4 linked regions of the Diceros bicornis minor genome follow. The protein of the gene in region 1 interacts with the protein of each later gene in a pairwise test. Links are inferred from orthologs where the notes say so. Each region holds a gene or a part of one and is shown in the gene's direction. Other genes may lie near its edges. The genes, in order: ARL6IP1, SNX12, GAD2 and NDRG4.

Region 1 (7,828 bases):
AAATGAAATAGGTGAATTTTATGGCCTGTGAAATTCAGGCTTCAGAGGTACCTGGCACCTTATCCAAGCAAAAACAAAACAGCTTTATATCAACATGTGCCTCTGGTAAATTATCCATCGCTTTTATTTTAAAATGGTCCCTCAGAGAATACTGTGGCATATACCTGTTTGGTTGTGGGGCAGATATGAATAACTGGTGACTTCAAAGCTTGCTCTTTACTGCACTCGACAACGGGCCTCCAGTCTGTACAGTTGACTTCCTCTGGGCAGTCATTCTGCAAGTAGCCTTGCCATTGGAACTGTTGTAAGAGAACTCAGTTAGAGATTTAATCAGTGGTAAAAGGCCCAGTGATAATAGCAGAATGAGAAGACAAGGCTATATTTTGGGGATTATCTTGTAAATTAATGTAAAGTTTAGAGTGCTGTGGTTATGAAGTCATACATTTTTGATGATACACAATACCTATGGAAAACCAGGGATCTCCTCCTCTCTCTTCCTCCCTCTCTCTCTCTCTTTCTCAGATTCAGGGGGTACAGAATAACCTACAACCTCTTCCTCAATTCAGAGTACCCTTAGAAATTGAAGTTTATCTTAAGTGTTTTGTTGTCTTCATTTCCTAGAATTGCCTGAATTTTAGTTGATTTCTCTACAAAGCAGTGGAGGCTTAGTAGTTTATGGAGCTGTATCTGTGTTTCTCTTTTACTCTGTTTCTTTGGTGTGTCTTGCAGTATCATTATTTCCGGTTATGAGTTCTTAACAGTTTGCTAGGTGATTGTTAAGATTCTTTTGTGTCTGACACTTGTGGTGAGTTGTTTTTGAGATCTGTGAGATTTCTGTGTGAGAACTGATAATCAGCCTCTTGATCTGCTTCCCTAAATGGTTTTTTTAGACCCCAAACCCCAGGTTCAGGGTGAGGGTTTATAATACAAAGAAAAACTTCCATCACTTCTGCCCTTAACACTTGCCTCTGTTACCTTAAGGCTTAGTATGTAGTTTTCTTAATATTGTCCAATGTTTGGTGTTATCTGCCTTGGTTTAATTGCAGGTTTTTGTTTTTGTTTTTTAATTGTGGTTGTTCTGATGTGTGAAACTTAAGGAAAGAGCCATTAAAAACTGCCGAGCAGGGCAATGCAAGTACAGCCAAATATTACAGTTGATGTGCAATCTTAGTTCCTTTTAAATCTGGGGTTTTATAGGCAGTACTTTAAATTGAAAAGTCTTCCTGGCCTATTTTCCTCCACATATTTGTAATTACTCTGGGGGCTTACTTGTTTTGGCAGTACTAAAATCAAAGGAGCTGGTTCTTCTTTTCTCCCAATTCTTTTCCTATTGAAGAAAGCACCTACAATAAGCCTGTTAGTCGTATTCATATACATCAAAAATCAGTGACTGCTTTATTATTAGCAATTTAAGTACCTTTGTTTTACATAAAATTAGAACCATTGACCTTCCATTCTATATCTTCTTGAGCTTGTAAAATGCCAGTAATTTAGAGCTAGGACTTCCCCCCACTTAAATCAAGGAGGTAGAATATATTAAATAAGGGTCACTTAAAGAAAGTAGTTGGGTTGTATTAGAAAGTTTCCTCCTGTGGGGAAAAACTAGCTAGCATTATAGATTTTTCCAGACATTGGGGAAGGGGAAATTCACTGTATTATGAACCTCTTAAGGGTGTGTTGCACTTTTCCTGCTTTTTAGGCCTGGGTAACTGTCATCATCCCTTATTTACAGGAGGGCAAATGGACTCAGGCTGAGAGAAGCTTCATAGGTTCAGGGGTTAGTGGTACAACATGAACTGCTTAGAGTCTCTTGCTTTCTGTGGGAATTTGACTGGGCTTACTAGGGAAAAGCTGTTTGTTGTGCTAATGTAAAAATGTCATACAATTAGCTTGACTTTCGAAGATGGTAAACTTAAGGAACTGCTTGTTTTGAAATGCAGACTTGTAGAATGTTTTCTTTCTTTCAAAACAGGCTGATTTTTCTTTTTCTTTTCCTGCAAGTCCAAGTTTCAGCTCTTGTTTAAAGTTCTTGTGTCAGTTATTTTTCTGGTTTAAATTTCCTTATATTTCCAGCTGTAATGTCAGTGGCACCATCATACTTCACTTACTTGTTAATTTCCTTCACCCTTATTATAAGAGCAAATTGAGTTGAACTGAATCTTCCTTGTCCCAGTAACATTGTATAAATAAAGTGGCTTCTCTGTACAAAAGGTTGTAATGCCTCCTGATGGGTATAATTTTGTGATTGTATTTAAGATTAAAAGTTGAATAAATCACACCAGCTTCCTGAAAATGTTCGTAATGCATCTTTTGGAAAACAAAAATACATGCCTATGTTCTGCATATTTGCATTAACATGGCAAAGATTGTATGAAATACCTGTTTTTCAAAAAATAAAGTCTTAAAAGACATAGCATTTAAGCTCTGAATTTATTGGTTGAAGTAGGTTCCAGAAAACTTAATTTTGGAATATGGGTAGTTTTTTTTTTTTTTAAGCATTAATACCTCCAAAAAAATTTTTTTAAAGCTTAATTCTCTAAAAAGTAAATTTTTTACCCTCCAAGTTCTATTTTTGAACAGCAGTGGAAATTTTACTTCAGTGGGAAAGTTCTTAGTATTAAGGTACAATGTATTAAGCTTAATTTTGTCAATATTTAAACAAAACTGTAGAACATTATTGACATGTATGTTCCCTGGGGTATGAAAGCTCAGAAGGAGAACAGAATTAAAATGTCCAGCTTGTTTCATTATCTGGAAATCAGATTGCATTTGTTGCTGCTAGTTTATGTTAGGAGGGTTTATGTTAACTGTTAAGTCATTTGGCACGTTTCAAAAGATCACATCCTGTCCTTGTAGTACAAAAACAGCACAAAAGGAAGCTACGCTAAGGGTAGGCTTTTTTTTTTCCCTCTAATAAGGCCAATTGTAAGTTAAAGACAGACCTTACAGCAGCACTTAGGCTCTGAAGTTGCAGATAGGTCTGGGAACACATTCCTTGAGTAACAAAAATACTCCATGGAGAACTTCTGCTGTTTGAGTTACTTAAATTCTTTTCACCTACCTCAATTTCACAAGCTGGTGTTGAAAAGTCTTTCTTCTTAAGTTGTACATAGGGAACTTGGGTGAAAACCAGAAGCATTCTGTAGCAAAAGCTGATCTCCAAAAGTAGAAATGTCGATGTTTAAAGCCTAATAACTCCTTGGCCTCGCCTTTGGCAGTGAATGTTACTGTGCCTGTAAGCAAATTTTGCCTTCAAAGTGCTCAACATATGCACTATTATGTGGCTGCTGATTGTTAGGGACCTTTTAATTTTCTTTTGAAGAGGTAGGGGAGGGCTTGCGACTCGATAGCTTTAAAGTCTCCCAAAATGGGGTCTCTATGTGACTGCATACATCACCTGTTTTTTTCCCCCAACATCCCCCAAAGTGGCACGTTATTGAAGAGGCCCCTTCCCTTGCAAAGGCTCCCCCCCACCAAGTGTTGATACCTAATCCAGTTGCTTTATTTTTTTCACAGATCCATGGCAAATTTCACACCCTTTCATGAAATTCACAATGTTCCTGCCCCCCTGGTTCTCTTAGGAGCTGCATGTGCGCTATAGCTGTATTCTCAAATTTCTTTATGCCTTCCCTGAACTCTTAAGAACCTGGTAGTTATTTAAGGAATGCTTTTAAAGTAATCTAAATTCGATGGCATAATACAGATGACTATAAAAGGATAAAAGGCTGGAAGTTAAAAGCTATGATAAATTTTCCTGAAACAGACAATGTGACCAGGTCAACATTTGGCCTGATTTTGTTTGTACCAAGTAAAGAAAATCAAAGCACTTGTTAATGCATGTTGAAATCCTGGAGAGAAAAGGAAGTGTCTCAACATAGTTCATCTAATTCCTAAATTGCCTCTGAATCCCACGGTTTGCATCTTTCCTTAGCATGACTTACAGTGTAAGAAAGGTTCTGTCAAAACGAGTCCTTTTTTGGATAGGGAGCTCGCAGTTTCCTAAGTAACTGAAGTGCCCCACAAGGAATTTCCTTAAAGACTCCACGTAAATAAGCCAACTTGATAAGTCAGTGCATTTTTCACAAGTTCTCAAACTAGACCCAGATCCTCCTCCCTCCCTATCAAGCTAAGGCCGTATTACTAATGGGTAGGAAGGAAAAACTGCAAAAAATCTACATAAATAGCTCTTCTCATTTGTCCTCAAAACCTCAAGAGGTGGGCACGAGTCTCCGAGTCACAAGTCTGGGCTAAACCGCCCGGTGGCCTGACCAGAGCGGGGATTAGAAGAAAGGGGGAGCCGCCCAGGGGCACAGCGAGGGCGGGGGGCACCCGCCTGGTGGGGAAGGGGGTCCCAGCCGACCCCCTTCATGACATCGAGGTTAGCGTCCCAGGCCCATCTCTGCCCTCCGCCTGATATGCGTGGCATATTTCTTCGAGGACTAAATTCCAGAGAGGCTCCTTAGCTGCTCTGAACTCCAGCAGAAGAGGCTCCGAAGACGACCGCAGCGTCCACGCCTGGGGCCAGCGAGGCCAAACCAGACCCGGGGCGGCCGCATTTCAACCGCTGCCGAGAGGCCTGGGCGGGGCGTCGCACATCTCCTGGGCGCTGATTGGTCAGTCCCTGCCCCGCCCCCTCGGCCCGGAGCGGCCCCGCTCGCCTTTGACCTCGATTTCAAGCCATGCGCTGGGCAGCGGTTGGTCCGGCTCCCCTTAAGCTTGAGCTCGATCTGCCCAATGAGGAGCGAGCTTCGCGGGGTCTGTCGGGAAAGGCAGCCAGCCTATATAAGCGGCTTGCGGGGCGTACCCTCGCGCTGGAGTCGTTGTGCGGGTCCTGCAGTAAGGCTGCGTTGGAGGGTGGCTGGCGCTCGCTGAGCGGCACCTCGGGGACGATGGCGGAGGGAGATAATCGCAGCACCAACCTGCTGGTGAGCCCCGGGGCCTCGTCGCGGGGGAACCGAGCGGGGCCTGCGGACGTGGGTGGGCTCAGGGAGGCGGCGCTGCGGCCTCGTTCCTGTCACCGCGGCGGGCCCGGCCCTCCTCTCCCGGCTCCCAGGCCAGGCGACGACGCCTGCCCCTCGGGCTTCTTGGGTGGCAGTCCCTAGTCGTGTGGACCCCTGACGTCCCCTGGGGAAGGTGCGGACCGGCCGAGGAGGGCGCGTGATCAGTCACGAAGAGGGTTGAGTAGGAAGTGGGCGAGGGGGCTGTGACGAGCCTGGGGTGCAGCCTGGGCCAGACGGCCGCGAGGGGCCTGTGGAGCGCTTTGGGGGCCCAGGCCCCAGCCGCATCCGGGTTTCCCCCTTCTTGATCTTAACCTGGATGTCCTTTCGTTTTTTTTCCCCCCAAGACTTGGACAGGAGTGGAGGGTCAAAGGGCTGCTGCCCGGTTGTTAGAGCTGGCACAGCTTAAAACGGCAGGGAGGCTGCGAGTTCGCCGCGGGGAACTGGGCGTGGGGTCCAGCTGGAAGGACAGTGGGCGTCCTGGCGTTGGTCTGGAATTTGTAAGCCTTTGGGGGGGGTCTCAGGACGACTTCAGAAATAAGCAGGGGTCCGAAGGAACCGCAGTGAGATGGTATCCCAGGCGGGCAAGTGTAACCCCTCTGCGAATTTCACGGCATGATCTAGGCAAAAACGAGAGAAATCCGTGCATTTTCTCCGTTGCCTTTCCCCAGGGAAAGACAGGCCACACGCCACAACCACAATGAATAGAGGAACCAAAGAATTTAATTTTTCACTTTTGGTTTTTCCGAGAGCCCAGGTGCTAACGAATTAAGTGACTTTGCAGGGCAGTTTTGATTGTGCGTGATTTTCATTTTGCATTGGTTTTTAGAAACGCATGACCTGCCCCGTTACACACACAGACCACACCCCTTCTCAGTGCTGTGCTTAGTTAGCCCTAGCCAGGTTGCTTTTAAGAGGATTGACTGAAGCACAAAGAAGTTGCCCAGGTTCACACAGCTGTTGAAATGACAGATCCTGGCCTGGTGCTCAGCTGCTCTTGCCCAGCAGAGCAGTGTAGCTTTAAGGGGAGCGAGGCCTTTGACCTTATTTTTTCCTGGATTCACATCTGTTAACCTTTGTGTGGCTCAGCTTCCTCTTCTCTAAAATGAGGTTAGTAACGCCACCTTCCTTTTAACTTTTTGGGAGGATTAAAATATAAGCATATAAAATACTCAGCAGAGTTTCTGGCACATAGTAATTGCTTATTTAACTATATTAAGCATAGTATATGAAGTCAGAAATATTGACACCTAAGTGTGATCAGTGTGGCTCAGATAGCATTTTCATTAAGATTAAGCTGCACTCTCCCCTGTTATTTGCATGTTTCCCTGTAATAACATTTATAAGGACATGTTCCAGTTTTTTTTCCTCTACCCAAATCAGCTTAAGGGCTTTTTGCCGCATTAGCTCATCCTAGAAGTCTGCTTTCAGCTGATAGTCAGATTTGCAGAGAAATTTGAGGTCTAACTAAAATGTCCTGATAAGTGTAAGAAGCTCTGTATTAAGGAGATATATTGAGCTAAAATGCTTCTTATAATTTGGCGAGTTTTCCTTAATTGTGTAAATGATGTCAACATCTAAATGATTCCATTACACAAAGAGCTATTTTAGAAATTGCTGTTCAGGGAGAGGCTTTCCTAATGGATTTAGAAGGAGGGGTTTAAATCAATGGAATGACAAAACAGCAGATCAGTTCTAACTACCTGAAATGGGGGAATTGAAAGTGATCTAATTTTATACTTTGGGCACTGCCACTTAGTGCATGACTTTGGGAAAGTTGGTTAACCATTCTGAGCTCGCTTTCTTTCATTGTAAAATGGATCTAATTGTCCCTACCTTGAGGGGCTCTATAAGGATTATGTTACATCGTGTATGTAAATAATAGCCCAGTACTTGGACTTGGACGGGGACCATTAAATGATAGTTTTTTCCCCATTAATTTCTGTCTTTGGTACGAAAATTGCAGTTTTTTGGAAACTAACTTGTTTAAGATAGTGATTTGGTTAAGAGCTATTTCACACACACTTGGTGCCTTGGAAGAATTTAACTCTCTAGGAACCACAGAAATGTTGAGAGTGGTAAAATGACCGCTTTAAATGTTGGTCATGCGTAGGCTGCAGAGACTGCGAGTCTGGAGGAGCAGCTGCAAGGATGGGGAGAAGTGATGCTGATGGCTGACAAGGTCCTGCGCTGGGAGAGAGCCTGGTTTCCACCTGCCGTCATGGGGGTGGTTTCTCTGGTGTTTCTGTAAGTGCACTGTTCAATTGCTATGGATTGTGCTTGTTATTAGTAAGGGCTCAGGTCATACACAGCCTTCATTTAGTCTTTTGTGTAATGTATAATCTGTAAAGAATGCCTTTCCTTAGAGCAGTTCGCCTAGTTTTCAGAATTTGTAGTACTTATGTAAACTCAGTAACCTAATGCAGTTGAATAAAGACCCTTTGCACTCCTAAAAAGTATTGAGGACCCCAAAGAGCTTTTGTTTCTTGGTATTTGCATTAACCATTGCAGCTATGATGTCATCATGTCATGAAGCTTTTGGAAAACCACTTGTGAGAAAGTTAGAATGAAAAGGGCAAATAACATCTTTGAGAACCAGAGGACTCAGTGAATAAGCATCTTCAGCTGGGAATAATAATAACTATGGTTTTCTAACCTTTATTAATTTTTTTTTTTTTAAAACAGGACTATCTACTATCTAGATCCATCTGTTCTGTCCGGTGTTTCCTGTTTTGTTATGTTTTTGTGCTTGGCTGACTACCTTGTTCCCATTCTGGCACCTAGAATTTTTGGCTCCAATAAATGGTAGGTGGCCCAAGGATTTGGCAGTC
Region 2 (7,190 bases), on another chromosome or scaffold:
GGTACAGAGGATACCTGTGCCTTGCCCAACATCACTTGGTAACTGTGAAGCTCTGTGCCTTTCATGAAAAGCAAAAAGGTGTGTGCGTGTAAGCCAGCTGGTAACAGCTGTTATCGCGCTATTACTGCAAAGGATTTAATTAGCCCAGTACTGTCTACTCTCTTCTCTCTGCCCTATCAAATCTTTCTCTTTAAAAAAAGACCGTATATTTACACCTCATTGTGAATTTAACTTGCACAATTCTCCTAGGGCTATTTGATTTTAAGCCTTATCCCTTTACTCACCTGTATATTCAACTTCTCACTTTCTATGAAATCCTTCCCCCCTCCCCCAGCTGTTAAACATATCCAAGTCTCTTCTCTCTAAAAATCAAACAAATCCTTCTTTGACAATGCATTGCCCTCTAGCTACCACATTCCTTTCTTAGGCAAGCTTCTCAAAAGAATAGTCTCTACTAAATGTTTCCACTTCTCCACCTCTGATTTAATTCTCAATCCACTGCAGTCTGGGTTCTACCTCCAGTGCTCTGCTGAGACTGCTCTCATTTAGGTAACTGTCAAATCTAGTGGACATCTCTCAGGCTTTATCTTATTTAACCGTTCTACTGTATTCAACACTTTTAACCACCTCTTTGCTCCTTTTGGAAACATTTTTTTATCCCTCCCCTTCAGATCACTATTGTTTCCTGGTTCTCTTTCTACCTCTATGACCACTCTTCCCTGGTCTCCTTCATAAGCTTCTCTTCCCATGCCTGCCCTTTAATTTTTTTCTCAAATGGAAATAGCTTTTTTTTTTCTGATGAAATAAAGAATATATATAAAGAAATACATTCATTGTTTAAAAATCAGGTCTTTTAGAAAATTATAAATAGAACCATAAAATCCAACTGAAACCCCACCACACAGAGGTAACCACTGCTAACATTTTGATTTATATCCTTCAAGTCTTTAAAAATTATTATATATATCATATACAGTAATACAAAGGGTATCATATTACAATATTTTTACCAGCTTTTTTTCACTTTTTTTGTGGGCATCATTCCATATCAACAAGTATAGAACATTATTTTAAATGGATACATAGGAGAACCCTGAATTTGGCCATTTACACAGGAGACTGAGTTTTATGATGGAAGTGACTGAGATACAAAGTCTGTAAAATATAGAACCCACTACTCCTTTGTAAGACTCATCATATAAACAAATTCACAAATTAGAAAAAAATGGCTACAAATATTCCATTGCATAAAATGTACAATTATTTGCTCTTAAAGATAAGATCCTGGGCCGGCCCTGTGGCTTAGCGGTTAAGGGCGTGTGCTCCGCTACTGGCTGCCCGGGGTTTGGATCCCGGGTGTGCACCGACGCACCGCTTGTCTGGCCATGCTGAAGCCGCGTCCCACATACAGCAACTAGAAGGATGTGCAACTATGACATACAACTATCTACTGGGGCTTTGGGGAAAAAAAAAAAAGGAGGAGGATTGGCAATAGATGTTAGCTCAGAGCTGGTCTTCCTCAGCAAAAATAGGAGAATTAGCATGGATGTTAGCTCAGGGCTGATCTTCCTCACAAAAAAAAAAAAAGACAAGATCGGTATACTGGTATCTTTATGTAATTATCTGATTATTTTCTCAGGATAAATTATTGGAAGGGAAATTTTCGAGTCAAAAGTTGGTAAATAACATTAAAAATTTTTTAAAAATACAAAAGTACTTAGACATAAATGAAATGAAAATGAAAAACAACTCTCCCTGCCATCCCTGACTCCTGTTCTCCAGCTCTGCTCTCCAGAGACAAGCAGTATTACAAGTTTCTTGAGGTCAAAGGTTTTTTAAATATATGCTACCAATTTGCCTCCCAGAAAGATTGTATGGATTTACACTCTCATCAACACTGCACGCCTTCACCAATTTTTAAATCTTCTGTCCTTGCCTCTTCACATTTTTCTTTCTACACTGTACGCTGACGACTCCCAAATCTCTCTCTCTAACCCTGATCACACCCTTGAGCTCCAGGCCAGTATTTCCAGCTGCCTGCTAGACATCTCCACGTGGATGTCCTACAGACACCCCAGATTTATCTAAACTGAACTCATTGTCTTCCCTCCCAAACTTACTCTTCTTTCTGTAATTCCAGTTTTGATTTGTGGTACCAGGATCCACCTAGTTACCTAAATCAGAAACCTAGGAGTCATTTTCAGTTTCGTCCCTCTCCCCTCAAATTGTAGTAATAGTGAATAGTTACTGGTCACTTATTGTTTGCATGTATTTTATTTAATTCTCACAAAAGCCCCACAGGTAGCTTTTAGTCTTATCATTTCCATTTTACAGATGAACACTGTTTGGATAACTTGCTCAAGGTTATATAGCTAGGAAGCAGGGATTTCAACCCAGATAGCTTAAGTCCATAGCTCACATGCTTAAGCCCTATACTATACTACCATCACATCTAATCAGATACAAGTCCTATCTATTTTATTTCCTCAATCTCAGTCCTATCTCCTCGCTTTTCTCCATTCCCACCATCACCACCAGATTCCAAGTCTTATTGTCGATACTCTCTTAATTAGTCACATTCAACTCAAATACATCTTCCATGTTGCCTGCAAAATAATCCTTTTAAAACACAAATCTGATCATGTCTTTTTCCTGTTGAAGGTCCTTCAGTGGCTCCCTATCGCTTACATCATAAAGCCAGAGATCATTTGCTTAATATAGAAGTATAACCCTCAGCTGCCCGTCCCCAGCCAGCCTACCTCTCTAAGCACTTCCATTACACAATCCAAAGTGGTGATAATTGCCTAAAAATATCATGCTGTTTCTTATCGGAATGACGTTGCACATGCTATTCTCTCTGCAAGAAATTACCTTTCACCGTTTCCACTTCTATTTGTCCTTTACATCTTTTCATGTCTGTCAAGCTCAGATGTTTCCTCCTCCAGGAAGGCTTCCCTAATTCCTCCAGTTATTCATGTCCTGTGTGCTGCTTTGAACATTCGCTTATTTTGTATTTGTCACATTATATCAGTTTTATTTAGTTGTCTCCCTTTCTAGAATGTTAACTCCTTGAGGGCAGGAACTCGCTTATTCAACTCTAGGTCTTTAGTGTTTAGCATGGTGCCTGGCACATAAGTAGTTGCTTAGAAGATATCAGTTAAATTGAATTAGATAACTTAATTGTGAAATTATAGGGCCTTGTACTCTGTTGAAGGAATTTCAGGCATCAGTGACACGGGAAATTTTTTTGAGCAGATGAGGGCAGGTGCAGAAAAGAGAAAGGATGACCTAAAATCACCACCCCTAATGTGGGGCACTTCCCCTTCAAGTGGGCGATGAGTAAATTAGTCATATAAATATTAATACATATTTCTATAGATATTCTCATGTAGACATGTATTCTCTCTCTATTGTGGGCTGCAAGCAACCTCAGAGCAGTGCCAAGTATGGAGCTCTGCAGCGTAGAGATAGAAGGTATGAAATAAATGCCCTCAATTTGCTGAGAAATGTAATACCTGAGTACACCTGGAGTTAGCTTTTATGTGGCAACAAGTGGAGGATGAAGATATGCCCAAATTTTCCTGAAAAGTGAGAATGAGAAATCATCTTTGTTTACCCCATCCTCGCTGCTTTCCTGGCACCGTAGATAGTGCTCATTGAGTGCTCAATGGCGCGTGGAATGAATGGAAACTATCAGTCGCACAAGTGGCGAGGCTTCGTTCTGGGTTCTTAGTACTGTTGTTGGAACCCCACCCTCCGGAGACCATCCTTCTATTTTTGCGCAAAACCCTGACTTATTGAGGTCACGGGACTTTGGCCGATCACTGTAGGATCCTAGTTTGCGGGGCAGTGCCCACTGCTGACTGATACATGGTATATAAGACAATTTCTTGGGTTGAGGAGCAGCGATTGGCGCATAGCGCCTGGAGGGCTTCCCAGGATATTGGGTGGTGCGTGTTGGAAATGCAGGTTCCGGGGCAGCCGCAAACACCACCCGGAAGCCTGAATGACGCGTCCTCTGTACAGCACAGACAACCGCCAGCTTGGCCGCTATTCAGGGTGCCGGGCCTGGGGCCGGGGCAACGTGCGCGTGCGTGCGTACGTGCGTGCGTGGGCGCGCGTGCGCGGCGCCGCTGTCTGTGGGTTGGCTGGTTACTTTGCAAGCGGGAGGGGCCGTGCGCGCTCCTCCCTCCGGCCTCTGTCCCTTACCCCCCTTCCCTGGTCCCGGTCTCTCCTTCGGAAAGATGTCGGACACGGCAGTAGCTGACACTCGGCGCCTTAACTCGAAGCCGCAGGACCTGACCGACGCTTATGGGCCGCCAAGTAACTTCTTGGAGATCGACATCTTTAATCCACAGACGGTGGGCGTGGGCCGCGCGCGCTTCACCACCTATGAGGTTCGCATGCGGGTGAGTCACGGGGTGAGGGAGACAGCTGAGGGAGGACCGGGCGGCTGGGCGGGGAGGACCGGGCGGCTGGGCGGGGAGGGCGGGGTGGGGGAGGCTGCCATAGGGACGACTAACGGTGGAGAAGAAGCTTGAAGGGGTCATTTGGGGGTTAGTAGAGCTTAATAGATTTGGAGAGACGTCTGCAGACTCGGTTGTGGCTCGAGGGTACAGAAAACTCCTGAGGGGGACATCGGACCGGGGTGAGGGAAAACAAGTACCCAGGAGCAAGAAGCGAAGCATGGCTGGATGGGGTGAGGAGGATGGAGATCAGAGTGAAGAATCAAGGAAATAGAAATCATGACTGTAGCGACAGAAGGAAAGAAGGAAGAGTGGAAGAGGGCTGGGGGATGGAAAGCCACGGCGATATATCACTGGGTCCCATAACTAAACTATGTTGTGGGAAGTCAGTCTGAAGAGGGACAGCAGGAAGACCCGGCTTCTTCCTAATGCAGTCTCCCTGGGATGACGGAGTTAAACAAAGCCTGGATTAAAGGGAAAATAGACTCCAGAAAAGGGAGGCAGTGGGCTTGGTGGAGCAGAAGAAAGGGAGTCTCCTTGAAACCGAGTGTTTCCCGGACTTGAGTAGAATTAGCATCTGAAGGAGAGAAGTATTTTATGCTTAAGTTTTCTCAGGTACCACATGCTGTGTCTCTCTGTGAAACCTGGCCTTGCACTGGGATTGGGGGATTGTCAGTAGCTGCTCTGCTTTCCGTGCTGATCTTTTAGATGTGAAGTATCCAGAATGTTGATTTTAATATTTATTGGCTCTCATTTCTGTCCTAGATTAACCTTCTGGATTCAGACCCTGGTCTGTAGTTACTTTAATAGATGACATTTCAGGACTGCCCCAGGAGTGGCTTCTGCCAGTGTGCACTGCAGAGGACTTTATTCTCTAGTTCTTAGTCCACAGTGCAAGGATGGAATGTGCAGAATAGAGTACACAGTTTGCAGGTTCTTTTGCCCAGTTGAAGTGGTTATAGGCAAAAAAGTTTGAGAACCATTTTGTAATTTTCCTTATGTTTTCTTCTCAGACTACAAGGCCAGAATATTCTCTATGGACAGCATGCTGCTCAGATAGCATTTGAAGACGTAAAAGAGTGTATGTGCTTTCAGTTTTGAATGAATGAATGAAATAAATGAGAGATTGTGCTCTCGTACCTGGGCTTTGAAATCCAATTGAGAAATGATGATCTCCAAATTCCAAGTTAGGCCAAGTCCAAACTGAAGAAAGAAAAGCGAATAGCAAAAAATGAGAAAAACTCGTCTATATAAGAACTATTTGGGGGCTGGCCCAGTGGCGCAAGCGGTTAAGTGCGCGCGCTCTGCTGTGGTGGCCCTGGGTTCACCGGTTCTGATCCCCGGCACGCACCGATGCACCTCTTGTTAAGCCATGCTGTGGTGGCGTCTCATATAAAGGAGAGGAAGATGGGCACGGATGTTAGCCCGGGGCCAGTCTTCCTCAGCAAAAAAAAAAAGAGGAGGATTGGCATTGGATGTTAGCTCAGGGCTGGTCCTCCTCACAAAAAAAGAAAAAAGAACTATTTGAACTCATCTCTTTGGGGAAGAATAGAAATTAGATCCTTCAAAATATGATAAAAGCTGGAAACTGTTCGTGGTAGAGAACTTTACCTGAGGAAGCCTGGGCATACCTTGTTCAGTATAAGGACTCTCTGCTGTGAGGTTTGGAGACATTGTCTTGATGCATTACCCAAGAACCTTAGGGATTATGGATAAAATAGCTCTGTACTTCAGGCATTCTAATAACAACAGAGACTGTTCATCTAGTGCCTACAATGTGCCAGGCACTGAACTAGGTTTTAGTTTCTAAATCCTTATGAAAACACCATTTTGCAGGTAGGAAACTGAGGAGGAATGCAGTTTAAGTAACTTGCCCAAGTACACATAGATAATAAGTGGCAGGGCTGGTGTTTGAACCCAGGTCTGTCTGACCCCCAAAGCCCATCACAATCTTTCCACTACACTTCTGCCTCTTTGGCAATGCTTAGTTGCAAAACTTTAGTGTGCAAAATTTGTCTACCCGCTAAGCTTTTCATCTGTCTTTTCCACAATTTCTAATTGTATGGTGATGATAGGGTTGATGGCAGTTCCTAGTTCCGCAAGTTTGAGTTAGTTTGTATTGTTTATGTTAATTTGTATGGCTATATAGGCTTTTAATGTTTTTATTGAACTCTGTTTTGGGGAAAAATTGTAAAATCATTTGGTTTTTTTTATAATTTTATTTATTTATTTTTCTCCCCAAAGCCCCAGTAGATAGTTGTACGTCATAGCTGCACATCCTTCTAGTTGCTGTACGTGGGACACGACCTTAGCATGGCTGGAGAAGCGGTGCGTCGGTGCATGCCCGGGATCCGAACCCGGGCCGCCAGCAGCGGAGCGCATGCACGTAACCGCTAAGCCACGGGGCCGGCCCAGTCATTTGGTTTTAAATTGCTATTTTAAGTGTTTGATGGATGTAGGCGTTACAGGGAGCATGAGACTCAGAGAATGGGCTTTGAGAGTTAGGTATTGGGTATGGTAGAAGCAGATGGCACTGACTTTTTTTCTTTGTATAATAGCTAAATATTTCTGAAGCTGTTCCCTTTCATTTTGTTCAGGAAAGAATCCTCCCCCCACCTCCTCAAGAAATGAGGAGTCTGGAGAGGTGTCCTGGTGACTTCACATGATGTGTATGGAATTTTTCAAATGTCATTTGTCCTGTGGACTTGAACTTTGCTTCTTTCT
Region 3 (7,507 bases), on another chromosome or scaffold:
ACTCGCGGACGGGTTGAGTCCGTGCGAACAGAACAAAGCCCCGACGGGAGGAGGGCCGGGGAGGGGGTAGCTTTGAAGATGACCTTCTTCTCAAACTCAAGCTCTGTCTTCCCTTGGTTATTAAAGTTACTAAATAAAGGAAGTGCCTTGTAAAATCCGTGGCTTTCGGGACTGGTGCTCCACATTCCCCTTTGGGGCCGGGCTCCTGCGTCTGGTTGTGCAGGTGGTGGTGCCCAGGGAGGGGGAGTGAGGTACTTTCTGTCTCCATCCGCGAACAACTCCCCACCACCACCAGCCACCCCAAACAAACATATCGTCTCAGTTAAAACCCCGCACTTGCCATACAAACGTGACCTCCAGACAAATCCCCCCACACACATACACACTGAGGGCAAACACACACATTCACACACACACACACACACAAACAAGCCTTCCCAACCAAGGTGGCTTCCTTTGGCCCCGCCTATAAGAAGTCTGGTCCAGGCACTGAGCTGAACTCAGATTTTTCAGGTTTTCCTAGTGTGCAGATTTGAGACAATCTCCGCTGCGCCGAACTTTGGTGTATTTGAGATGTAGGGGAGGGCAGTGGGTGGGCAGAGGTTTGCATTCTTCAGTTGACTGCATCGTATTTTAAAACCAGGGTTAAGCTCGGAACTGACACCCTCCGTGTCTACGCGGCCTGCAGAGGATGAAGAAGGGGGTCGCGGTGGTTTCATGGACGACTGAATTGAGAGAAGAGTTCTGGCTGGGACGGGCTTGTCCCGTCTGTGGGTGCCCTCGGCTCCTGCACCCATGAACTCCGAGCCCAGGGGAGAGTCAGGGCGCGTGCAGCCGGCTAATAACGTTTGATGTGCCGCTTGCCCACTGGGTGTAAGGTTTTCTCCAACCCAAGATGTGGACGCCGAAAGGTCCCCAGGTTACAGATGAGACCCGCGCGAGGGGAAGCCTCCCGCTGTGGCGGGGCTGAGATCGGGGTCCAGGTGCGCTCTAGGTCCCGCTCCTTCCCTGGGTTCGCGCCGCGACCTCCGTTCGGGTGGGGACCCGGAGGAAGGAGCCACCCGGACTGTGCAGACCGACGGCTCCGCTGTGGAGGGCTGCAGCCTGGGCCTAGCACGACGGAACCAGCGCCGCGGGGCACCGTACTCCGGCTAGGGGGAGGGACGGATATCTGTAACTGGAGGTGGCCCGGCCCCCTCCGCCCCAACCCACACGTCCATCCACTACCAGCAGACCCGGAGGGGTGGGGGATGCCGAGCTCCGCTCTGCTGCCAGACCCTGTCTTCAATCCAGGCTTCTGGAGTGGCCCTGGCAGCCCGGCCCTGCCCTTGCTGGATGGGGAGGCAACAGGCCCCTTCCCTAAACTCCTCCCGACCCTTTTAAGTGGGACTGGACAAAAGAATGGCAAACGTTTGGTGAAAGGCTGCAATGTTTTTATTGTCCTTTTTTCTTTTGTATGTCTTTGTTTTCTCTCCTTTTTCTTTCTCTCTCTTTCCATCTCCCCTTCTTTCTTTGTCCTTCGACATTTAAGCACTGGGAGGACAGAATGGAAAACATATACCAGACACTCTCCTTTGGTGAGCCTGCAACACGATCTCCGGGTAAACCACGGACAAGAACTAGGTCAACCAAGGAGCCCGGCCTGGTAGCCCCCCCACAGAGCGTGGGTCTCTCGCCCCTGATTCGGGGAAGGGCCTTGGAAAGCTTTTCCTTGGCGCTGGCCCGCCTCCCCTCCCCACTCGGTGGCTGCCTCCTTTGTGAACTAATGACTGTAATTATTACCTCCCTGAGCTCTTTTGTTATCTCCAACCCCAAGCCAGAGAGAGGGGGGAGTGGGCTCTTTTGCGAAATGAAAGTCTTTATAAAGCAAATTGCCGTCTAGGGAGGGACGGCGAGAAGGAAAGACAAATCAGATCCGCGTGTGCATCTGAAGTAGGGTGTGTTAAATAAAAAATGTAAATACCACCGTTAGATTCAAAGGACTCCGGAGCTGCGGGATTTAATGGAGTCGAAATAGTAGCATTTTAAGTCATTGCGTTTTTAAAAAATCCGTTCAATCCAGGTGTTGCGATTTCTACCTTCCTCGTGTTTTAATCTGTTATTTCCTTCGGGCCTTTGTATTGTGTTAAACCCTTGTTTGAAAGAACTTTTATGTTTTCGACTACTCATCCGTAATAGAAAAGTTCTGCAGCCCCAGCCTGCTGGCTTGAAGCAGAACATTAGCAGTGGATTTGGTGTGGATTTAAACAAAGAACCGGTCTCTCCGACTCGTATCTACACTGCTGGAGCAAGGCGTGCGGAGCTGCCCTGCCCGCGGTGCAGACGGCGGAACCACGAAGTCTTTACATCCCTGGAGTTGTTACCTGGGTCCACTGGAGTGTTGGAGCCGGGAGCGCGGAGCGCCGGACAGAGGGACGGAACTGGGGCCTGGGGTCGTGCCCACCGCGCGCCCGCAGCCTGGTGCAGGCTTCTCGGCACAGCCGGCTCTACGCGGAGCCGGTGGGACCCTGCCAGCGCCCTTCCCCGTCCCCACTACCAGGCCGGGGCGCGGCGGCCGCGGTGCTGATGCCACGCATCCTCCCGGCTCGGGCACGTGGGAAGAGGACAAAGCTTTGGGGAGAGAATTGACCAGGCCCCCACGGACCTGGGGACACAGGACTTGGGCTTGCACGCGGGCATCCCGGGGCCCACGACATCCTTCCTGAGCGAGGATCGAGGGGCGGTAGCCGAGACTGAGGATCCGTGGGTCTCTGCCTTGGCCCCAGCTTTGGTGACTTGGTTCAGGAGGTCAGAGAAAGAACGGATTGTGAACAGAATGGAAATGAAAAGCGCTCATCTAAGGGGAGCAGCGCGTGGGGAATGCGCGCCCCAGGAGGCCGAACGCAGCGCTTTCTCCCCCGTCTCATCCTCGCCCTCTCTCAGAGAACCCAGGAGCGGCAAGGTTGTACTTGACGCTGCTCTCGACCGCCAAGGGAAAGCAGCGAGGACTCAGCGAGCCCCAAGTTCTCTGGGCGCCCTTCCTTTGTTTAACAGCGTTTAGAGAAGGGAAACTAAGAGAGGGGAGACTCTGACTGTCTCAGGAAAGGAGAAACCCCTTCCCACCAGGCATCAGAAATAGCGAATCTCGCCCAGCCACTCCCACTATCGTGCGGGATTCTCTTGGGGTGGGAGGAGGTCATTGATTTGAGGCCCGCTAAAACGAAGGCCCAGCGAGAGATGCCTTCTTTCCGCCTCGGATTTGGAAAGCTCAGATTGCTTGGTTGGAAACTCTGTGCACGCCTCCCACGCACACACCGATTCCCGTCACACGTAAGCAGCGGTCCTTCCACGCCTCCCCGGGCCAAGGTCACCAAATGACCCGATCCCATCCCCCATCAGCCGTCAATCCTGCGAGCTCTAGCTGCTCTCCCTCGCCCCCTTACAAGAAGTTCCCATTCGTTTTATTTTTTTCCCCAGCCCGAGGTCCTCAGTGATAGACTCCAGCATGGATTTTAATTGCCTCAATCAGCCGTCTTTCTCCCCTGCCGTCAGTCAGAACCTGGATGGTGGGTCGGGCGACAGCGCGCTCCGAGGCGCAGGAATGGTGCGGCCGGGGGACCGCGCGGCTCAATAGGCAGGCATCAAGCTCTACCAAGGAGCTGAAATGAGCCCATCAGTGCGTAGGCGCCCTTCCTCCCCCAGCGTCCCGTCTCCAAGCTCGAGAACCGATCCTCATTCCGCCCAGCCGCCCGGGCTCTCAAGGTCACAGCTACCTCAGCACCGAACGAGAATCGCGTCTCCTTCCCCGCAGCCGGAGCCAGATCTCAAACAATACGCCAATCGGTGCGTATATAAGACGCTCGCCTCCGCCACCCTTCCCGCCTCGCCAAGGTCTCTCTGGTCTACCCCTCGCTGAGGCCGGCGCGCGGCCAGCCGCGTCAGCACTCTGGATAGCTCATCCGGGCCGGCGGGGGCCGCCCGCACCCTCACGCCTCGTGCTCTCCGGGGGCTCGCCCGAACGCCCCCCACCCACACGCTCTGACTCCAGTTCGTGCGCACTGTCTGCCTCGCACCCTCACGATTCAGCACCCTCCCGCTCCCGTTTTTTTCCCTCCCCCGCCCCCTCATCTATCCCTTTTGGGCTCCCTCTCCTTCAAAACCACTCGCGCGCTCCGTGCTTTCTCATCTCCCGGTTGTGAGGACCCTTCGGTCCCCTTCCCTATTTAACCTCCACCGCTTTCAGAGCGTCGCCACGTCTCTAAGCTCTAATCCCAACACGCATACACACGCGCGCACGCAGAAAGAGACACGCACGTTTCCTGTCCCTATGTGACACTCTCTGCCGCGCGGCCGCGTGGGTCCCCGTGCGGTGCCCTCCTCCCGCCACACACACACACACACACACACACACACACACACACAGGCGCACGCACGCGCGCGCAGGGCCGAGCCGAGGGCAGCTCGCAGACAGTTCGCACTCGGAGGCTACCTGCTCCAGTCTTGCAGCGCCGATGGCATCTCCCGGCTCAGGATTTTGGTCCTTCGGGTCTGAAGATGGCTCCGGGGATCCCGAGAACCCCGGCACAGGTAGGAGAACAGAGACCTGCAGCAGGCGAGCTTTGCGGGTGGAGTGGGGTTTGTCGGGCTAGGAGGAAGACGAAGGAGGTTTTTCCACCTGCAACAGGAAACTTAAGACGCTTCGCCCTACTCTTGGAGTAGGTCCCTGATGGCCCCAAAGACCAAACCCCCTACAGGTCCTTATCCCTGGAGAAGATGCCCAAAGAAGTCTGGGAGAGCCCCCCAAACACCGAGGCGTCTCCTCGACACCGAATTCCGTGGGCCTGGGGCACTGCCACCATCTTGGTGTTTGGACCCTGGAGAGAAACGGAGTGGTGGTGGGGAAAGGAGAAAGGGGAAAGAATTTTTGGTCTGGAGGAGAGCCTGCGAGGAAATGGATAGCCTCAGCGTCTAGGAAAACTCGCCCGAGGGAGGCGGGAAGGGGAGTTTGCCTGACCGATTGGCACCTGGAAGGCAGGCGCTAAGGGCCGCAGTTTGGGCTCCTTGAGAAACAAATCAGCGAACCGAGGGCCGGTCCGGGCCGCCCGGCTCCCGCGCACCTCCCGCACCTGCCGGATGTGCCGAGCCCCGGGCGGCCCCTCCTGGACCCCGGATTTATTGACGTTGTTCACGTGGAACGAAATTTCACACGTCCGTCTGCTGTTTTCTTTCTGCCTGGCTGTCCTCCTGCCTGTTTTTCCTTGCAGCGAGAGCCTGGTGTCAGGTGGCCCAGAAGTTCACGGGCGGCATCGGAAACAAGCTATGCGGTGAGTGCCAGTGCCCCGGGGGATGGGGGCGGACTTGGCCAGGCGCCTCCGGGCCCGCGAGGGCAGAGCTGCCTTCTCGCCTTCGCATCCCCATCAGCGGAGTCGCAGTTTCTTGGTCAAGGATGGGCGGGGGCGAGGGAGCCCGGCCCCGCGGGCGGCTGACCGGCGCGCTCCGTGTCCTTCCCAGCCCTGCTCTACGGAGACGCCGAGAAGCCGGCGGAGAGCGGCGGGAGCGAGCCCCCGCGGGCCACCTCCCGGAAGGCCGCCTGCTCCTGCAACCAGAAGCCCTGCAGCTGCTCCAAAGCGGATGTCAACTATGCGTTTCTACACGCAACAGGTAAAGGCGCGTCGCGGCCCCCCCGCCCCGAGCCCACTGCTCCTCGCTCTGCCCCGCCCACCGCGGCTAGGAGTGACCCGGCGCCGGGAGCCTGACCCGAGGAGTCCAGGTGGAGAGCGGAGGCGGACCTTACGAGAATCTGGAATCCAGAAACGCTGGGCCTGCCCCCTCGATGCAATCCCCGACCCTGGCGCCTGCGTGGCTCTGGGTGCCGGCGTTCCAAGGGGGCTCTGGGGCCGCCGCGCTCTTCCCCTAGCGCCTCCCTCGGGTCTGCGGGTGGCCGAGGCGCCCGCGCGCGCCGGAGCTCGAGGTCGGCTTCTTGGTGCCGCTAAGCTCTCGAGTGGAACTCGGTTTCCAGTTCAGAATTGCTGAGACTTTCTAGGTCTTTAGATCGCAGGAGTAATTTGTAGCTCTGATTTCACAGAAGAACGATTCTATTCACGTGAGACCTGCGCGCGGTTTTACTCCCTTGCGCCTACACGCGCAGTCACCCAAACATGCGCGCGCGCGCGCGCACACAGACACAGATACACACACACTGACTTTGGAAACTGCGCGCCTTGGGAACAGGTCGGATATCCTAACATTGCACGATCCACTTCGCCTGGTTCACCCAAAGAATATTTCTGATGTGAAGTATTTCCATAATCATTTAAGATGATTTACTGAGAAATAACGTTTAGGACGAACCCTGTGAAATAGATGAATGGAGGCACACTCTGTTTACAAAAGAAAACAAACAATAAGTTATGAATTGAAATGCAAGAATTAATTTGGGGTTGGGGGAGAAATCGTAATTTCTCTCATTCCTTCGTCTTTGAAAAATACCTCCCCTTTAAAGAAAATGCTTTGCGTTTCCAAAAGCTTTCTTTAAAAAAAAAAATATGAAATCTCTCGGTTCAAAGAGAAACTGCTAAATCAAGATCTTACCTGGATATTTTCCTAGTAAAATTAAAATATGGCATTTTGATTCCATTCTTTAGACCTGCTGCCAGCGTGTGATGGAGAAAGACCCACTTTGGCGTTTCTGCAAGATGTTATGGACATTTTGCTTCAGTATGTGGTGAAAAGTTTCGATAGATCAACCAAAGTGATTGACTTCCATTACCCTAATGAGCTTCTTCAAGAGTATAATTGGGAATTGGCAGACCAGCCACAAAATTTGGAGGAAATTTTGATGCATTGCCAAACAACTTTAAAATATGCAATTAAAACAGGTATTGTCCAATCAGAAATAATAAAGCTCTTTTTTCTTTTACAATTTTTATTTTTTCTATAAAAATCTTTTCTTCTTTCATGAAGTTACTATTTTCAAAATAACAGTTATTTTTTAAAAATAGTCATTATTAGAATAATTAAAGTCAAAAGCATCCTTTACTAATGTGTTAATGCTTCTGAGGTTGATATCAGAAACATGATCTAAGGATAAACTGTCAGATTTTACATTGCACGTATTTGGCCATGGGAATTAACCCCTGACGTAGAAGCAAGCATTTGTCAGCAGAGGCCAGTAGAAGCAACCCAAAATGGAGACAGATAGGGAATATGGAAATGAAAGCTAAAAAGACATGATCCAAACAAAAACCCAAATACCAGTGTAGTGCTAGTAATTTCCTTGGCATAGAAATGGCCAGAAATTGGACAAACCACCCTATGTAATCATAGAACCAGAGAGATAATATTTTGGCATTGTCTCAAATAGCCAGTACTCCAGATTTGAACTCCAGGTTTTCTCTATTTTTAAAGAGATGCACACAAAAGAAAACACAATACAAACTAGCCTAACAAATCAGCCATGTTATATAAGGATGTGTGTGCCTCAAAGTTACTCTGTATAGAAGATAAAGAAAAGGGGGGGGAGGGGAAT
Region 4 (7,272 bases), on another chromosome or scaffold:
GGGAACTGGAGGGGGTCTGCTGTCTTCTGGGATGGGAGAGCAGACAGTGGGTGTCTCGAGTTACCTGGAGAGCAAAGGGCTGGCCTTGAGGGAGGAGGGTCTTGACACGTTGTGGGAGAAAGGGGGTGGCAACATAGTCAGTGAGTGGTCCAGGGTGGCCCAGGAGCAGGGAGCAGACAATCTGGTGGCTGGTGAAATTCCAGAGCCAGACTGGGGCCAGGCACTCACCCCTGCCCACTTGCTGGTCCCAGCTTCCTCACCATCTGCTCACACATGCCCAGCATTCTCCACCTCAACCCCCGAGCTCCTGTTGGGGGCAGGGCTTCAGCGTGCTGAGCTCTGTGCCTCCCCGAGCTTAGGTCATGGCTTGGCTGACCCAACATATGATGGATGGATGGATGGACAGATGGACGGACGGGTGGATGCTGCTCTCCCCCAATCACTCTCTTTCCCATCTCTATCTGCTGAAATTCCACCTCTCTGCAGGCTCAGATGCCTCTTCCTTCGGGAAGCCCTTGCTGATTCCTCCAGGTCCCCCACTGTACTGCATGGTAACCTCAATTGCACATCTTAGCAGAGTGTGCCCAGTACCTAGATTATGGGACTCTGAGCTGGTTTCCTCCATCAGTGCATAAACCTTAAAGGTCACTGGTCAGCTCTGGTTCTCCAATGCACGCCACAGCACAGGGCTGGGCACGAAAAAGGCACTCACCCGATCCTAGAAAAGAAGAGAAAGGATCCGCTCGTCTCTCCCTGAGGTCACCTGACTCGTGATTAGTGAGTGAGGGGTGTTAGCCGGGGGATGAGGGGGACAGTTCCTGCTCACCCTCCTTCTGCTGATAGAGGAAGCTTCCATGGCTCCAGGCTCCTGTGCGCCCCCGACTCCACCTGCTAGTTCTTTTCACTTGCTCCCAGTCATGGTCACGAGGGGACTGGAGCAGGATGGTGACTCAGCCCAAGTCATCACCACAATGGAAAAACCCAGTCACCTGTCCTCCTGGCAACGGGACCGGAGCTGCCTCTGCATCTGGAAGGGCAGCAAGCCGTACTGTTTTCAAGGTCCTTTTGTCTTTCACCTGCTAAAAAATCAAAGACTGAAGTATGTAGGGGCACCATCGGTTGACACTGTAGATTTGCGGTGTGCTACGAATCTCAGCGACCAGGGATCGTGTGTTCCCTCCATGCCAGGCTCTGAGTTAAGTGCCCACGAGCATCATCTCACAGCAGTTCCACAACAAGTCCATTGTTATCTGAAGTGGGCACTTGTCACTCTTTTGGCCACCAGCATCTGACACGCCCTTCATATGAGGCAGAGCCCACCTCCCACTAAAAGAACCGAAAACACCTTTTCCCTGCCTCCCTTGCAGCTTTGGCAGAGGACCTGAGGTGTGCGCCTCCAATCGGACACGCCCATTCTTGACTGTGAATTAGAAACTGGTGACACAAGGAAGCCAAAAGCACACAGGATGCATTCTGTCGAGGATGCGGCAGTGGCAGCAGTGCCACCTCTGGCTTCAGAGGCAGCCATGGTCCTGATGGCCGTGTCCAGTATCCTTGCCCAGGGACGCTGGCCTCAGCATCTAAGCCCGGGGGCGGCAGCAGCGGTTTTGACACCAGACTAATGCTGCAATGTTCGGCCTGCCTCCTGAGATCTCGAGAGCAGCCCACCCTCCCTTTAACAAAGGACTTTTCTGCTTACACTAGCCAGAGTAGGGGTCTCTTTCCTGCAACTACGAGACTGATTTATTAACCCGAGTTTCCAGATGGGGAAATGCAGGCTCAGAGAGATCTTCAGAAAGGCTGTGTCTCACCTCCCGCCAGGGTGGAGGCCAGCCTTCTCCTGCCTGTGGTACAAATGGGAAAAGGGGAGTCCAGAGAAGGGAACGACTTTTGCAACATCTTTCAGGTAATAAGGAGCAGGGCTGGGGGGACACATCTTAGAGGTTCTTGTCTCAGCCAACAGCTTGGCCCTCTGCCGTGTTCTGCTTTCCTCTGTTAAAAACCCTGCCATCCAGCCTCCCTCGCAGGGATAAAGAGAACCTGGGAGCAGAAGGGACTGAGAGCTTGCCCTTCTGCTGACTCAGCAGGGACTCCTCTTTGCCCCCATGAGCGACTCTTCCAGAAGGGCCAGGGCCCCTCTACCTGGCTATTCCCTAAGCACCTGTGCTTGACGTAATAGCCCCTATGGGAAGGGGTTGTTCTTAACACCACATTTCTTCTTCATCTATTAAGTCTCAACTTATAGGGGTTCAAATCCTCAACCCGACCCACCTGAATGCTTACTTGGGGTTTATAAATTATCTGAGCCAAGTGGATCATCCACGTTAGTTCAAGACCATGGCAGATGGCATTCCACACAGAATGTCATTCCATGACATTCCACATGCCATAGTGTCAAAGCTCTTGTTAGGCAGGCCTTTACATCCTCCTGGGCCTCTGGTCCTCCAAGGAATTCGGAACAGGTTGGACCTCGTGAATTAGGTTACTAGAACATCAACAATGAGTTTTGTTCAATGACTAGGTCTGAAATTACTGAAAAAGGGTAGAACTCAGGAAAGCCTGAAAGAATTTCTAATGCAATAATAACAATTCCATCATCAACAATCATAGCAACTATTTGTTGAATATTTCCACCATGTGTCTGGCACTATACTAAGCACTTTCTTTACGTTCCATCATTTAATTCTTACAGGAGCTCTCTGCGGTCAGTATCATCCCAATTGCACAGAATATGACACGGAGGCTCAGAGAGGATGAGTAACTTGCTGGACATCACACAGCCGAGAAATTGTGGAACCAGCCTGTGCTCTTAAGGACTGGCTCCAGGCTCGTATATATAGAACCACAGTCTCCTGGATGTTTTGGACATAGAGGCTTACTCTGTCACCACTGACCTCCCCCCATCCCCTTTACAAATGAGGAAACTGAGAGGCAGGGATTTCCGCAAGGTTAGCCCCACAGCGGTAAGGAGAACCCTTGCCGCCTCCTATGCAGTTTATATACTGCACCCCAGCAGGAACATGCACACCGTCTGGGGCCACCAAATCTTACCAGCTTCCTCATCCCCTGAGTCAGTTAATTCAACACCAAAGTAGCTTCCACGGAAGCCTGGAGCTGAGGGAAAGCTGGGACCTGACCACAACCCAGCTCAGATAAGAGAAGATGGAGGGCAGGTGGGGGGTGGGGGCGGCGGGGGGCCTGCAGAATCCTCTTGACCTCCCATGCCACTGCCATCCTGGACATCCCAGGTGACCCGCTCCAACACATCCGCTCTGCACCGAGAAGGCCGGAATCAGGGAGCGGCAGAGCCCCGCCCAAGGTGACCGGCAGAGGCTGAATGGAACCCGGGTCTCCAGGAATCCTCCTCTTGAGCCGTCCTGCCCAGGTAAATTTTTTCACGTCATCAGATTTCCGTTCTCCCTACAGTAGGACTCCATCCAGGGGCTCCGGCGCTCCCTCTTTTGGGGTGACAGGTGAGAACAACATTACTGGGCCAGACCAGAGTGAGCCTGAGGAAGACAGGGGTCTCCCAGTTCCCTTTCCCGCTCAGATAATGGAGGAGCAATTGAGGGGAGCAGGGATCTCGCCAAATTTTGGGGGATGGGGTGCCGACCCTGCGGACCCAGAACATCTCTGCCTGGAGACAGTCACTCCCGCTTGAGTTCTCCAAGGAAACCCTTGGGCTCTGAAAACCGGGGACGATGTCCCAAGGGCCTCTGAGCACCTGGTCCTTCCCGACCCCCCAGGGCTCTTCCCCGGCGGTTCCCAGGCGGGGGCAGGGGCTGGGGAGGGGGTGCTGTCTCCACCGCGCTGGGGTTCCCCTCGGGAATCCAAACAAAGCCGGAGGCAGAGGCCGCCCCCTCCCCCGGACACCCGACGCCGCGCGCCAACAAGGGGACTGGAGGGGCGGGCGGAGCCTCCCACGGCACCCGGCGGAGCCCGAGCGGCGGGGACCCTTCCTCCGGGCCTGCGGGAGGTGAGAAGCGTGCGGATCGACCCGTGTCTCCGCTGGGCTCGGCGGTCGCAGCGTCCCGCTCGCCCACCCAGCCGGCGCTCCCGCCGCGGCAAGAGGCCGATGAGCGCCCGGGACGGCCCCCCGGGTCCAGGCCGCGCCCAGCCCCGCGGGCAGCGCCCACGGCCGCCACACCCCGCGGGCACGCCCCCCGCGCCGTCCCCCGCCCCCGCCCCCGGCAGCGTTGGCACCGCCAGGGCCCCCGGCTGCCGCACCTGCACCCGCGTTGGCGGCGGCGGCGCCGAGGCCCGGCTCCCCGCCTGCGCGTCTGTCTCGCTCGCATCGCCCTCGGTGAGTCCGCGGCCCCGCGGCCCGTCTCCCCGCTCCTCCTGCCGTGATGACCGCGACCAGCCCCCCGCCCGGCGCAGCCTCCCCCTGCGACCCCAGACCCGCGAGCCGGGCGCCTGGTCGCCGGGGCCATATTTCGCCTACGCGCGGGCGGCAACCCTGCCCCCCACCCCCGGGCTCTCCCTCCTCGCCTCCCCCGCTGGGCGCGGGGACCCCCAGGGCCACGGCCCCGCTGCGGCCCGCGCCTCCCCCACCGCGCCGCCCGGGGGCGCCGGGGCCTCTTTGTTCGCGCGCCGGGCGCAGGGCTCCTCCTGCCGCCTCCCCGAGTGTCGCCCGCACCCACCCCGCGCGCTCCCTCCGCCTCCCGGAGTTCACCCCGACCAGGTGGCAGCGGGCGCCTTTTAGGGGTGCGCGGTCGTGCAATTGGTGGATTTTTTTTTAACCGTTTTGGAAGGGGGGCGGCGAGATCGCGGCTGCCTCCCGGCTGCTCCTCCTGCTGCGCTCCTCGCCTCCCGCGCTCCTCTCCCCGGCTCGGCCGAGCGCGCTCCCCCGACGCCGCAGCCCCGAGCCGGGCAGCGCCGGGCGCCGAGATGAAGGTGCTGGGACACAGGATCGAACTGCTGACAGGTACCGCCCGCCCTGCCCGCGGCCGCCCTGCCCGCGGCCGCCCCTCGGCGCGGCCCTCGCCGCCAGCCCCTTTCGGAGTTGGAGCGGGAGCCAGGCGCGGTGGCCGGGGTTTGGGGCGGCTCGGGTTCGAGCAGGAGGAGGGGGTGCGGATGCCAGCGAATTCCTAGCCTGTGCGCTGCCTGTTCCTGTGCGGAGCCCGCCCCTGGAGAGGACTTGGGGCCGCGACTCGCCCGGCTCCGCTCTCTGAGTCCCGGGTGCCCGGCGTCCCGGCGGGTAGAGCGCGTGCGGCCGGAGCTCGGGTCAGGGGAACGGCCCCCCTGGACCCTCCGGCTAGCCGACTAGCCGGGTTCCAGAGGGGGGAGGGGAGCTGAGAGCCCCTGCCCTCCAATCAGTGTCCCTCGGTCCCCCAAGCAAGGAGCGCCCTGGGCTCCTGGCAGGACCCCTGCCGTGGGCCTCTTATTTCCTGCTCGCTGTGACCATCTGAGCGCCTCTCCCGAGGAGAAGTTTCTTGCTGGGAGTAGAGGCCAAGTGGCCTGGGAAGTGGGAAGCCAGATTGGACCTTGATGACGGGGGACTCTCAGCCCTGGGGCTGCTCTGGAGAAGTGGCCAGACACCTAGCTGGAAACCACATCCAGGGTGCTGGGGCTGGAGATCAACAGAGGACACTGAGCTATGCCCGGAAGAGGAGGCAGAGAGACAACAGGGACAGAGGGGATCTGAAGGGGGTGGGAGATGCTCTTCCAGGCATAAAGGACAAATCACACAGGCGGCTTCTGTGGTCTTCCCAGGGCGGAGGTTGTGGAGAGACCCAGACGGGAGGAAGGAGGCTGGGAAAGGGCAACAGTCAGGATCCGGCCAGGGCCTGGGCGTGGAGGCCCTCAATCAGTGTGTACTGGATGGACACGTGGGTCCCGGTAAATGTCCCCTGGCACCTGGGAGGGTTTGGACCCTGACTTCCAGGACCTTACCGTCTGCTGCAAAAGAACAGAGCACAGGAGCCCTGTTACAAGACAGGGAAGGGGGCAGCAGTGTGGGGTGCACGCGGGAGACAGGTTGGAGTCTGAGTCGGGATGTGAGGAGAGCAGAGAGGTTTGAGCACGTGGTGGCGCATTTGAACTGGACCCTAGAAGACAGAATTTCTATTACTAGAGAGGGGGGCGGCATTACAGATTGAAGGGTAGAGGGACTGGCATATGCAGAGGCTCTGAGGTGTGTGGGAGGCTTGAACCAGGAGTGATGTGGAGGCTGGAGGGCCCGGAAGGGGCAGGGGAAGAGGTGGGCAGGGAATGAGGTCTAATGAGGTTTCAGGCTGTGAGTCCGTGTTAAATCAACAATGCTGCTCCTCAGCTCCTGGCAGGCTCAGAGAGAAGGGAAGGTGGGGGCTGTTCCTGGAGCCCTGGACACTCTGGCCAGGTGCTCAGAAGTGCCGGTTCTGGGCCCAGTTAGCCACTGGGCTGGCGCTCCTCCAATCCCTTTTCCAACTTTCCCTTGTGGAGCTCTCTTGAGGCAGGCGGGCTGCCTGACTGTGAAGGGAACTGCACAGGCCGTTGAGCTTGTTAATTACTCCCCCGAGGAAAGTTTGTACAGCCCCAGCGGTGTTTAGAGCCCTGCATGCAGGACGGAACTCCTGGATCCTTCCCCTTCTCCTCTTCCAGCACCAGAAGAGCCTGGAGGAGGAATGCTCCCAGGAGGCGTGTATGGGGAACTCCACTGGAGGTCCAGGCTTTGGGGTTCCGAAACAGTGTGCCCTCATCTTCTGGGTACAAGGGTCAGAGCCCCTCCTCCCTCATCAGACAGGCTCAGCTGGTTCTGGCAGACTCTCTAAGCCCCTGGCCAGGCTGACACAGGACTCCCTCAGTCACTGTCATCAGTCACAGGGTCCCCTTGCACCTCTCACGAGGCCCTGGGAGATCATGCATCCCTCTGTCGCCGCCTGGTGGTCTTTACAGCCTTCGCTCTCTCTCCAACTCCCTTCCTGATCTCTTCCTTGTCCCATGGATCTGGGTTCAAATCCCAGCCCCACTGCCGGCCAGCTGTGTGATTTCAGACTGGTCGCCTAACCTCTCTGACCTCAGTTTTCTCATCTTAGAGATGGAACTGTTGACCCTTCCCTCTGAGAGTTGGCGCGAGGCTCACTGAGAGAACACAGGTGCTGGGGCCTTGCCCTGGTGGGCACCTCGCCGGCTTTGTCTCCGCTCTGGTTCCTGGACCATGGCTGTCCCTGTAACGGAGCTCTCCATCTGCCCTGGCTGGTTGGCCACTGGGAAGTTTGGGTCTGTCCGCAGCCCACTTTATCCCTGCTCCCATGCAGCTGTGAGGTTTTGACCCATCTTCCCCGTCAGATG

What was found.
Region 2: the proteins of ARL6IP1 (region 1) and SNX12 interact in binary tests that used the Homo sapiens proteins (3 or more experiments, as listed by UniProt). The two-hybrid records come from large-scale screens. The link is inferred for Diceros bicornis minor from reciprocal best matches to the Homo sapiens genes ARL6IP1 and SNX12.
Region 3: the proteins of ARL6IP1 (region 1) and GAD2 interact in binary tests that used the Homo sapiens proteins (3 or more experiments, as listed by UniProt). The two-hybrid records come from large-scale screens. The link is inferred for Diceros bicornis minor from reciprocal best matches to the Homo sapiens genes ARL6IP1 and GAD2.
Region 4: the proteins of ARL6IP1 (region 1) and NDRG4 interact in binary tests that used the Homo sapiens proteins (3 or more experiments, as listed by UniProt). The two-hybrid records come from large-scale screens. The link is inferred for Diceros bicornis minor from reciprocal best matches to the Homo sapiens genes ARL6IP1 and NDRG4.

Annotation. Positions count from the first base shown.
Region 1 is NC_080765.1:33,438,727-33,446,554, forward strand, and holds the start of ARL6IP1 (ADP-ribosylation factor-like protein 6-interacting protein 1), read left to right. Parts: upstream 1-4,815; 5' UTR 4,816-4,889; coding exon 4,890-4,925; intron 4,926-7,110; coding exon 7,111-7,244; intron 7,245-7,682; coding exon 7,683-7,802; intron 7,803-7,828. UniProt on the Homo sapiens protein: Positively regulates SLC1A1/EAAC1-mediated glutamate transport by increasing its affinity for glutamate in a PKC activity-dependent manner.
Region 2 is NC_080781.1:64,391,730-64,398,919, reverse strand, and holds the start of SNX12 (sorting nexin-12), read left to right. Parts: upstream 1-4,190; 5' UTR 4,191-4,244; coding exon 4,245-4,409; intron 4,410-7,190. UniProt on the Homo sapiens protein: May be involved in several stages of intracellular trafficking.
Region 3 is NC_080775.1:25,385,116-25,392,622, forward strand, and holds the start of GAD2 (glutamate decarboxylase 2), read left to right. Parts: upstream 1-4,490; coding exon 4,491-4,566; intron 4,567-5,243; coding exon 5,244-5,303; intron 5,304-5,490; coding exon 5,491-5,640; intron 5,641-6,623; coding exon 6,624-6,857; intron 6,858-7,507. UniProt on the Homo sapiens protein: Catalyzes the production of GABA.
Region 4 is NC_080771.1:11,749,914-11,757,185, forward strand, and holds the start of NDRG4 (protein NDRG4), read left to right. Parts: upstream 1-4,254; 5' UTR 4,255-4,303; intron 4,304-7,272. UniProt on the Homo sapiens protein: Contributes to the maintenance of intracerebral BDNF levels within the normal range, which is necessary for the preservation of spatial learning and the resistance to neuronal cell death caused by ischemic stress.